3 linked regions of the Macaca fascicularis genome follow. The protein of the gene in region 1 purifies or fractionates together with the protein of each later gene. This does not show direct contact. Links are inferred from orthologs where the notes say so. Each region holds a gene or a part of one and is shown on either strand. Other genes may lie near its edges. The genes, in order: PCNA, POLN and ING1.

Region 1 (3,752 bases):
CTCCTCCTCCTCATCCTCCAGGGATAAAGTAAGAGAACATTAGAGTATGCCACAGAAATGATGACGGCGCAAGCAGGTCTAACTATTTTCTAAAAGAAAACGAGAGAATATGATATTAGGCATTTTCAACATTCCAACATTTCTTCTCTCCTTTGGTGTTTATAAACCTAACCTGGATACATTTCTTCTAAGATAGCTTTCAAACCCACTTAATAAAAACCAAGCATCGGGCCGGGCGCGGTGGCTCAAGCCTGTAATCCCAGCACTTTGGAAGGCCGAGACAGGCGGATCACAAGGTCAGGAGATCGAGACCATCCTGGCTAACCTGGTGAAACCCCGTCTCTACTAAAAAATACAAAAAAAAAAAAAAAAAAAAAAACTAGCCGGGCGAGGTGGTGGGCGCCTGTAGTCCCAGCTACTCGGGAAGCTGAGGCAGGAGAATGGCGTAAACCTGGGTGGCGGAGCTTGCAGTGAGCTGAGATCTGGCCACAGCACTCCAGCCTGGGCGACAGAGCGATACTCCGCCTCAAAAACAAAACAAAACAAAACAAAACCAACCATCCTAGAAGGAAGCAAATTTTAAAAGAGGTTCATGGAAATTAATGCAAATAGACAACTGGCAGTAAACAATAAATTTAACCAGTGAGTTTTAGACTTGTGGTAAACAACTATCCAAATACTAAAATCTCTTTAAAACATGCACCAGTAGATATGTTTCTAGAAAAAGTTCTGTTATGAAGTAGGCTTAAATTATATTAACTTATCTTGACGGAGGAGGATCATTGAGGCCAGGAGTTCCAGACCAGCCTGGGCAAGACTGCCCCCACACCCACACACAAAAATAAAAAAATTAGCCAGGCGTGGTGGGACAGATCTGTAGTCCTTCCTAGCCACTTAGGAGACTAAGTGGATTGCTTGAGCCCAGGAGTCCCAGGTTACAGTGAGCTATATGGCACCACTGCACTCCAGCCTGGGGAAAAGAGGAAGACCCTGTCTGTAAAAATAAACAACATTCTATGACATAACTATCATGCCTGTGTACAGCAGTCGCTACAATCAGAAACTGATACTCACTGGAATTCCAAGTTGTTCAACATCCAAATCCATCAACTTCATTTCATAGTCTGAAACTTTCTCCTGGTCTACCAAAAAAAAGCAAATGCTGTTGAGAAACACTGGCACAGAGTTTCGATCTTCTGTAGCTTCATAACTCAGTAAAAAGGTACGACTTACTGGGTGCTTCAAATACTAGCGCCAAGGTATCCGCATTATCTTCAGCCCTTAGTGTAATGATATCTTCATTGCCGGCGCATTTTAGTATTTTGGACATACTAGAAGACAGGAGACACATGGTTTAAAATCAACACCATCTACTGAAGGTCTGTATTTCTAATGCAGTTAGAAGGGGTTACCACTCTCACCCATAGGCCGTCTCAGAACTGGTGGAGGGTAATTGCACTGCTGGAGGATGCGAATATTAATGCAGACATTTTGGGATGCATCTGGCAGTATTTATACTAAAATACCACCAGCAGTTTCCCTTCTGGATAGAAACAATCTCCTGCCACTAAGTAGGATGACAGGCTGACACTTTTCTCGCAAGGGCACATTATAAAGCATTTAAAGTCAATCGCGACTGAGCCGGGAGGATCGCCTGAGCCCAGAAGTTGGAGACCAGCCCGGGCCAACACATCGAGACCGTCTCGGAAACAAAAAAGCCACAACTAAAGCGTCCATTCAAGGCCAACAGGATTTAGTGAGCAAAAGCTCTGGAGCAGTGTTCCTGGCACTGCAGAAAAACCAGTCATTTTCCCGCCACCACCCGCTTTGTGACTTTGGCGCGAAAAAGCAGGTTCGCGCAGCAGCCAGCGCGGGCTTTTCCGAACCGCGCGCTCAGCTGGGCCCCACCCCCCTGCATGGCAGGCCAATGAGAAGGTGCGGATGGTCCACGCCAGCCAATGAGGGCTCGGCTCGGAAGCGATCCCGCCAAACCCCGGAGGTGGGGGTGGGCCGGGGCCGGTTTCTCGGCGCCGCGAGGCTCACCTGGTGAGGTTCACGCCCATAGCCAGGTTGCGGTCGCAGCGGTAGGTGTCGAAGCCCTCAGACCGCAGGGTGAGCTGCACCAAGGAGACGTGGGACGAGTCCATGCTCTGCAGATTTACGCCGCTGGAGCTAATATCCCAGCAGGCCTCGTTGATGAGGTCCTTGAGGGCCTCCAACACCTTCTTCAGGATGGAGCCCTGGACCAGGCGCGCCTCGAACATGGTGGCGGAGTGGCAGCAACGCGGCTACAGGCAGGCGGGAAGGAGGAAAGTCTAGCCGGTTTCCGCTTCAGGAGCCTCAGAGCGAGCGGGCGAACGTCGTGACGAGAAGCTGAGACCTAGAAACAGAACTACCAGTCTGCTACGCCTGCAACCGTTTAATGCCGCCGCGTCCGCCAGCGCGCGCTCTTACCCTGCGCCGCGTTGCGACGTCACCACGCTGCCCGGCCCACAGCCTGGGCGGGTTAGAATTTAGGGCCAATCGTGCCGATGCTCCCCGCGAGGCCCGCCCCCTAGGACATACATTGGAGGAAGCGGGTGCAGGGCGGGGCAGCGTCCCGCAGGTCTCCCCGCCTCTTCGCCTGACTCCTGAACCTGACCACTGAACAAGTCCGGGCATATGTGGGGATCCGGCCCAGGCCCCGGTTCGTCAAGCCCCAGCTTTATGGTGCCTCCTCAGCCTCCAGCTCCGTGGGTAGAAAGTTTCCAGCCACGAAAGTGAAAGTGAAAAGCAAATCCAGCCTACCGGGAGGAAAAGCCTCCTTGTAGCCTGAAGAGTACAGCTGCTGCAAATATGCACTTTATTTTTCAATTACAGAAGTGATGCGCTCCTAAGTGTCACACCATAAAGAGTTATGTTAAACTTAGCTCCCTCTCACCTCTTAACATTCCACTGCCAGCTCTTATAATCACTCAATCGTTCCTTGTATAAAGCTTTTAAAGCTTTTTTGAAAGTTCGAATACACTTTTTTTTTTCAAAATGCACTCATTCCGTAAACACTTCGAAAAAGTACTTAATAAAGTACATTTAATTTTATGCCACGTACATCTTTTTTATATCAGTACCTCTTTAAAAGATAGCATCACATGTATGTAACTTATCAATCTCCTGTTAATTACAAACACCTTTGAGCACTTAGGCAATTTTGGTGCTATCAACTCCTTGAAGTAATACAGCTGAGTCAAAGAGCGTACACATTTAATTTTTTTTCTTTTCTTTTCTTTCTTTCTTTTTTTTTGAGATGGAGTCCTGCTCTGTCATTCAGGCTGGAGTGCAGTGGCGCGATCTCGGCTCACTGCAACCTCCGCCTCCCAGGTTCAAATGATTCTCCTGCCTCAGCCTCCCAAGTAGCTGGGATTACAGGCGCCTACCACCGCGCCCGACTAATTTTTTTTTTTTTTTTTTTTTTTTTTTTTTTAGTAGAGACGGGGTTTCACCATGTTGGCCAGGCTGGTCTCAAACTCCCGACCTCAGGTGATCACCCGCCTCAGCCTCCCAAAGTGCTGGGATTACAGGCATGTGCCACCATGCCCGGCTAAATTTTTGATAAATGTTACTAAATCTCTAAAAGTTTGCAATTTACATTCTAGCCAAGACTGTGTATGAACATGCTCATTTATCTTTATTTTCCTAACTACAGATATTAGCAATCTCATTTTTTAATCATTGCTCATCTGTGTCAAAAATTCAATTTTTTTTTTTTTGAGACG
Region 2 (3,652 bases), on another chromosome or scaffold:
GATGCAAAGGCATAGGAATGACACAATGGACTCTGGGGACTCAGGAGGAAAGGGTGGGAAGGGGGTGAGGGATAAAAGACTACAAATTGTGTGCAGTGTATACTGCTTGGGTGATGGGTGCAGGAAAGGAGAGGAAAGAAGAGGAAAAGAGAGGAAAGGAGAGGGAGGGAAGGAGGGAGGGAAGGAGGGAGGGAGGGCGGGAGGGAAAGAAGGAAGGGAGGAAGGGAAAGAAGGCAGGGAGGGAGGGAAAGATTTTTTTAAAAAATTAACAGAGATCAAATTTTTAAAATATTGTGCTTCAAAAGACACCCTCAATAAATTCTTTAAAAATAAGCCAGAAATTGGCAGAAGTATAAATGTTATATCTTATAAGAGACTTGTATCATAATGTATAAAGAATGCTTACAGATCCAAAATAAAACACAAATAACCCAATTTTAAAATGGGCAAAAAATTTGAACAGATATTTCATCAAATCATCAAAACAGAAAGAAGATATCAAAGAAGATATACGAATGGCCAATAAGCACATGAAAAGATGCTCAATGTCACTAGGTAATAGGGAAATACAATTTAAAACCACCATGAAATACCACTTCAGAATCACTAAAATGGCTAAAATAAAAAAAAAATAGACAACAACAAGTGTTGACAAGGAGGTGGAGAATTTGAAACCCTAGTACACTGCTGGTGGAAAGTAAAATGGCACACCCACTCTGGAAAACAGTTTTGCAGTTTCCTAAGAAACCGATGGGAGCTATCCATTGTCAATCACTTACCACTGGAGGGGAGGGAAAGCCTTAAAATCTTGTTTCTAGCTCTCCTATCAAAATCAGACACTAAGAAAATGGGCTTCTTTTATGGTGTCAAGACAGCAAACAAAAACCATCACTGTTTACTAACCTGGTCAGCTCTTAACTGGGTGGAACCATCAGTATACATCAGAGTTACCACCAGGGCTGCTGCCTGTTTGAGCATTTCAATCAGCTGGCTTTTTGCCCAATCATCCAAATGCCTAATATCACAAAAATGTTTTTTCAATGCTCCTGAGTTCCCAGAATTTAGGTAGGCTTCAGCCTCATCAGTATCTTCTTCCAATGCCATTTGTTTACTTGTTTTCTCTGAAGAATTATTATATGTAATATGTTTTCTTTTAAGATTAATGCTTCCTTTATTTTCATTATTTATATTCTCCATTAGGAAATGCTTTCTTTCATGCTCCTTTTTCTGTAGAACTGAAGCCTCTTGATTATACCGTGGAATTAAACAACTTGAAAGAGCCAATGAGCTGATGCTCTTCTGTTTTTGGTCAGTAGATAGCTGATCTGTGAGTCTGACACCGAAGGACTGAGGAGAGAGCTTAGCGGAACCTCTTGATGTCTGACTTCTTAAAGATTTAAGATTCTACAGAAAAATGGAAAATATTTCATTAGAATATGGATTCCTAAGACAGATTTATAAACCAAACTAATTTCTGGTAAAAACTTGTCTAAAGTAATACAGAGACACAATCTTCATATTATCTATAATCACAACTTCTTTTTTTTTTTTTTTTTTGAGGCAGAGTCTGGCTTTGTCGCCCAGGCTGGAGTGCAGTGGTGCGATCTGGGCTCACTGCAAGCTTCCCCTCCTGGGTTCATGCCATTCTCCTGCCTCAGCCTCCCGAGTAGCTGGGACTACAGGCGCCCACCACCATGCCCAGCTAATTTTTTTTTTTGTATTTTTAGTAGAGACGGGGTTTCACTGTGTTAGCCAGGATGGTCTCTATCTCCTGACCTGGTGATCCACCTGCCTCGGCCTCCCAAAGTGCTGGGATTACAGGCGTGAGCCACTGCGCCCGGCTTCTATAATCAAACCTTCTAAGGAAACCACATAGTGTCTTCTAGAGCAGTGATTTTTCTCAACCAAGGTAGGCATGCATATCTGGATCAAGAGCTCAAAAGCCTAGTAGCTCACACCTGTAATCCCAGCACTTTGGGAGGCTGAGGCAGGTGGATCACTTGAGGTCAGGAATTTGAGATGAGTCTGGCCAACAAGGTGAAACTCCGTCTCTACTAAAAATACAAAAATTAGCTGGGCATGGTGGCAGGCGCCTGTGTAATTCCAGCTACTTGGGAGGCTGAGGCAGGAGAATCACTTGAATCCAGGAGGTGGAGGCTGCAGTGAGCCGAGACTGCACCATTGCACTCCAGCTTGGGTGACAAGAATGAAACTCTGTCTCAAAAAAAAAAAGCTCAAAAGCCTCCAACAAGCCCCTGTTCTGGGAATCAATGCACGTAATGAGAGATGTCATGGATAGGAATATGTTGCATATGTGCATAAGAGAGAAGATTAATAATTTACAACTTCCAAGTAAAGACCATTTATAGGCCGGGCGCGGTGGCTCAAGCCTGTAATCCCAGCACTTTGGGAGGCCGAGACGGGCGGATCACAAGGTCAGGAGATCGAGACCATCCTGGCTAACATGGTGAAACCCCGTCTCTACTAAAAATACAAAAAAACTAGCCGGGCGAGGTGGCGGGCGCCTGTAGTCCCAGCTACTCGGGAGGCTGAGGCAGGAGAATGGCGTAAACCCGGGAGGCGGAGCTTGCAGTGAGCTGAGATCCGGCCACTGCACTCCAGCCTGGGCGACAGAGCGAGACTCCGTCTCAAAAAAAAAAAAAAAAAAAAAAGACCATTTATAGAGAAAATGAAATCACCAAAACTATTTAATAATATGTTAATCTGTCTACTAAAAAAAATTTTTGGGGCCAGGCGCAGGGGCTCACACTTGTAATCCCAGCACTTTGCGAGGCTGAGGTGGGCGGATCATGAGGTCAAGAGTTCGAGACCATTCTGGCCAACATGGAGAAACCTCGTCTCTACTAAGAATAGAAAAATTAGCTGGGCATGGTGGCGCATGCCTGTAATCCCAGCTACTCAGGAGGCTGAGGCAGGAGAATCGCTTGAACCCGGAAGGTGGAGGTTGCAGTGAGCCAAGATCATGCCATTGCACTCCAGCCTGGGTGACAGAGCAAGACTCTGTCTTGAAAAAAAAAAAAAAAAATTAAACCCAACTCAATAGCAGTTCTCTACCTGTCTCATTCTCATTCCATCAATGTACAATATACATTCATAGATCCACAAACTAATCAAGGTGGGGAAAGCAATCCTATCCATTTCATTATAGAACTTATTTATGATAACACTTTATTTTTAAGGTTTCTTCTCTTTTCCTTTTTTTTTTTTTTTTTTTTGACACAGGGTCTTGCTCTGTTGCCCAGGTTGAAGTGCAGTGGCACAATCTCAGCTCACTGCAACCTCCATGTCCCTGGTTTAGGTGATCCTTCCACCTCAGCCTCCCATGTAGCTGTGACTACAGGGGTTCACCACCACACCCAGCAAATTTTTCTATTTTTAGTAGAGTGAGGTTTCACCATGTTCCCCAGGCTGGTCTCAAACTCCTGGACTCAAGCAATCTGCCTGCCTTGGCCTCCCAAAGTGCTAGGATTACAGGTGTGAGCCAACGTACCCAGTCAAGGCTTATTTTATATATATATATATATATATACACACACACACACACACACACACACACATATATATATATGTTGCTTTGAATGACTATATTAATATTACATTTTAAATAATTTTGAAAGAAAATGTTTTAACG
Region 3 (3,159 bases), on another chromosome or scaffold:
CGCTTGAGCCCGAGAGGCGGAGGTTGCAGAGAGCCAATATCGCGCCATTGCACTCCAGGCTGGAGACAGGGCGAGACTCTATCTCAAAAAAAAAAAAAGAAAGAAATTAAAACTCCGGCCAGGCACGGTGGCTCACACCTGTAATCTCAGCACTTTGGAAGGCTGAGGTGAGTGGATCACCTGAGGTCGGGAGTTTGAGACCAGCCATGACCACCATGGAGAAACTGTGTTCTCTACTAAAAATACAAAATTAGCCGGGCGTAGCGGCAGGTGCCTGTAGTCCCAGCTACTCAGGAGGCTGAGGCAGGACAATCGCTTGAACCTGGGAGGCGGAGGTTGCAGTGAGCCAAGATCGCGCTATTGCACTCCAGCCTGGAACAAGAGCGAAACTCCGTCTCAAAAAAATAAAAAACAAATGAAAACTCCACTGACCCTTTCAATATGTGGGCAGATCAATGTTAGATGCCAGTTTAAATCAGAGGTCAGCAAACTCTTTCTGCAGAGGGCCTGAAAATAGTTTTGGCTCGTCAACTCAAAAGGTCTCAGTTGCAACTAATGAACTCTGCCATTTTGCAAAAGCATCCACAGACAATACATACGCACATAAGCACAGCTCTGTTCCACCGAAACTTTATTTATGGACACTAGAATTTAAACTCCATATAATGTTCAAACAAGTGGTGGACTGGACTTGACAAGTGGGCAGTAATTTCCTGACCCAGGGTCTGAATACAGATTCTGTTTTGACACGTATTTATTTGCTGGCAATTAGGTAACTTCATTATTAATAAGTGAGAACAATAATACAAAATTTACTTAAGGCTTCGTCTAAACTGCTGGTGTATAAATTTTTAAGACAAATTTTAAAAGTTACTTATGTCAAAATTAAATATACTACTAGAGGAACAAACTGGCCAAGTTTCATTTATTTCTTCACGTAACATTTTTACAGCTCACATACAGCAGGAAGCACACCTTTGCACATAATTGTGACATTAGCTTCACAACAGCATCTGCTGACTGCACTTCCAATCATAATATAGCAAGTGCAAGTTCACTTGGAAATGTACATTTATACATCTGATATAAATTAAAGATGGCTACACTATGATTCGTGATAGCAAAAGCATGACTTGAGGTTCCTTGACTAGACCGCTTGTTTAAGAGAAGTGTACCCAAGCATTTTAAAATGGCCATTTGGGGAACAGGCCAAAATATAAAATATCTATCATGTAAAATTTAACCATTTACCATTTTAAAAAATAATCTTCAAACTTGAAACCTTTGTTACTGAATTGTTATATGGATATACATCATGGCAGCAAGAACCACATTTACTATAGGCTGTATTTTTGGCGACCGGCCAATTAAAAAAATTTGTTCGTAAAGTAATATTACTTTTATTAAAATAAAAAAGCTAAATGAAGTATTTTCCTTCCACATTTAATGTGTTAGGTTGAGTTTAGTCCCCCTCCTCCCACAAGAAATCAGTCTGAGACTTCAGTGTTTAATCAAACCTATATTTGTAGTTTCTAAAATGCTGATCCACAGACCACTTTGTTACACGTGTACCAATGAAAACAAAAGGCAAACAGAATCACTGCCATCCCTATGAAAGGAATGGTTCCTTTTCTAACATTCTTTAAAAATATACATTTTACACTCCCTGCACCTCAACAAAGGCGGCAATGTCATAAATACACGGTTTATTTTGTCCTCCTCACTACCAGGCGCCTGTCCACAAACTACCTGTTGTAAGCCCTCTCTCTTTTGGATTTCTCCAGGGCTTTGTCCATGGTCTTCTCGTTCTCCCCCCGGCACTTGGGACAGTACCACTTGCCCTTGGGTTTATGATTGAGCCCCACGCACGAGAAGTGGAACCACTCGATGGGACACTCGTCGTTGTCACAGCCGATCATCTCCCCGTAGGAGACCTGGTTGCACAGACAGTACGTGGGTTCGTTGGGGTCGATGGGGAGGTCGGCAGGGGACGCCTCCCGCTCCGCCTTGGCCTTGGAGCGCTTCTTCTTCTTGGAGGTCTTGGCCTTCTTCTCCTTGGGTGTGCCCGAGGCGCTGTCCTCGTGGTCGTGGTTGCTGGACGCGTTCTCGCGGTTCTCGTTGTTGCGCTGCCTTCGCGAGCGCTTACTGTTGGGCTTCTCAGCCTGCGCTGCCGCCTCGCCTTTGGGCCTGTCCGCGCCAGCCTTGCCGCTGTTGCCCGCTGTGTCGCCCAGCTCCTGCTGCGCCTCGAACAGCTCCACGTGGCTGTCCACTTGCCGCGTGCGGTTCTCCACCAGCTCCACCATCTGGCTCACGATCTGGATCTTCTCATCGCCCAGCTCCTGGCTGCGGATCAGCGCGCGCTGTACACAGTGCAGCATCCGCCGCTTCTGCGCCCCGTCCGTCTCGCGGCTAAAGCGCTCGTAGCACTCGTCCAGCTCCTTCAAGATCTCTGGGGGCAAGAAGGACAGGCATCACTCGCGAGCAGGACATCGGGACAACCCACACGGCCCCGGACCCGGGTCTACGGAGAGGGCTGGCAGGGGGCCCAGGGGCCAGCGCACGGCTTGCCCAGCCCACCAGCCACAGGCCCTCCAGGGCCTCTCTGTTCCTGTGCCCTGGAACTAAATGCAAATGCCAGAAGAGCTCCCACAGGAAGAGGAGCCGCTCCAGCCATCCCAGAGAGAACCACAGAACAGTTCCTACGCACGGGTGACAATGCCCGAAGCCATTAAGAGGAAACATTTAAATGAGGTGCAGTGCTCGGGACCCAACCTGTATTAATACTTTCTATTAATGATTATGTCCTATACTGCCATCATTTTTACTCAAATGTTTCTATTTGAATGCAATTATTAATATACATATAACGTTATATATAAACATGGTATTTATTACATTATACACAATATACAAACGATAAAATATAAATTATTTGAATATTTCAAATAAAAAAGGTCTCTATTTTAACATACCAACATCTAGAATATCCTGTTAAATTAGAGAACGTGTATAAATGTATATAATAGCTCTCTATGATTTAAAGAACCGGGTTAACAGCAAAGGTCCAGGCTACTTTGTGTTAGGTCCTCAGTTTCAGTCCCCACATTTATTCTAGCATGTTATTCCTCTGTATTAGTGAAAGCAAGAACAGTTCTGCCA

What was found.
Region 2: the proteins of PCNA (region 1) and POLN purify together in Homo sapiens (affinity purification with western blotting; 4 studies listed by BioGRID, with this or other methods). This does not show direct contact. The link is inferred for Macaca fascicularis from reciprocal best matches to the Homo sapiens genes PCNA and POLN.
Region 3: the proteins of PCNA (region 1) and ING1 purify together in Homo sapiens (affinity purification with western blotting; 3 studies listed by BioGRID, with this or other methods). This does not show direct contact. The link is inferred for Macaca fascicularis from reciprocal best matches to the Homo sapiens genes PCNA and ING1.

Annotation. Positions count from the first base shown.
Region 1 is NC_088384.1:82,160,786-82,164,537, reverse strand, and holds the start of PCNA (proliferating cell nuclear antigen), read right to left. Parts: upstream 2,425-3,752; 5' UTR 2,265-2,424; coding exon 2,044-2,264; intron 1,332-2,043; coding exon 1,234-1,331; intron 1,143-1,233; coding exon 1,075-1,142; intron 1-1,074. UniProt on the Homo sapiens protein: Auxiliary protein of DNA polymerase delta and epsilon, is involved in the control of eukaryotic DNA replication by increasing the polymerase's processibility during elongation of the leading strand.
Region 2 is NC_088379.1:2,363,081-2,366,732, forward strand, and holds part of POLN (DNA polymerase nu), read right to left. Parts: intron 1,405-3,652; coding exon 904-1,404; intron 1-903. UniProt on the Homo sapiens protein: DNA polymerase with very low fidelity that catalyzes considerable misincorporation by inserting dTTP opposite a G template, and dGTP opposite a T template. Is the least accurate of the DNA polymerase A family (i.e. POLG, POLN and POLQ).
Region 3 is NC_088391.1:101,295,685-101,298,843, reverse strand, and holds the end of ING1 (inhibitor of growth protein 1), read right to left. Parts: intron 2,450-3,159; coding exon 1,746-2,449; 3' UTR 615-1,745; downstream 1-614. UniProt on the Homo sapiens protein: Cooperates with p53/TP53 in the negative regulatory pathway of cell growth by modulating p53-dependent transcriptional activation. Implicated as a tumor suppressor gene.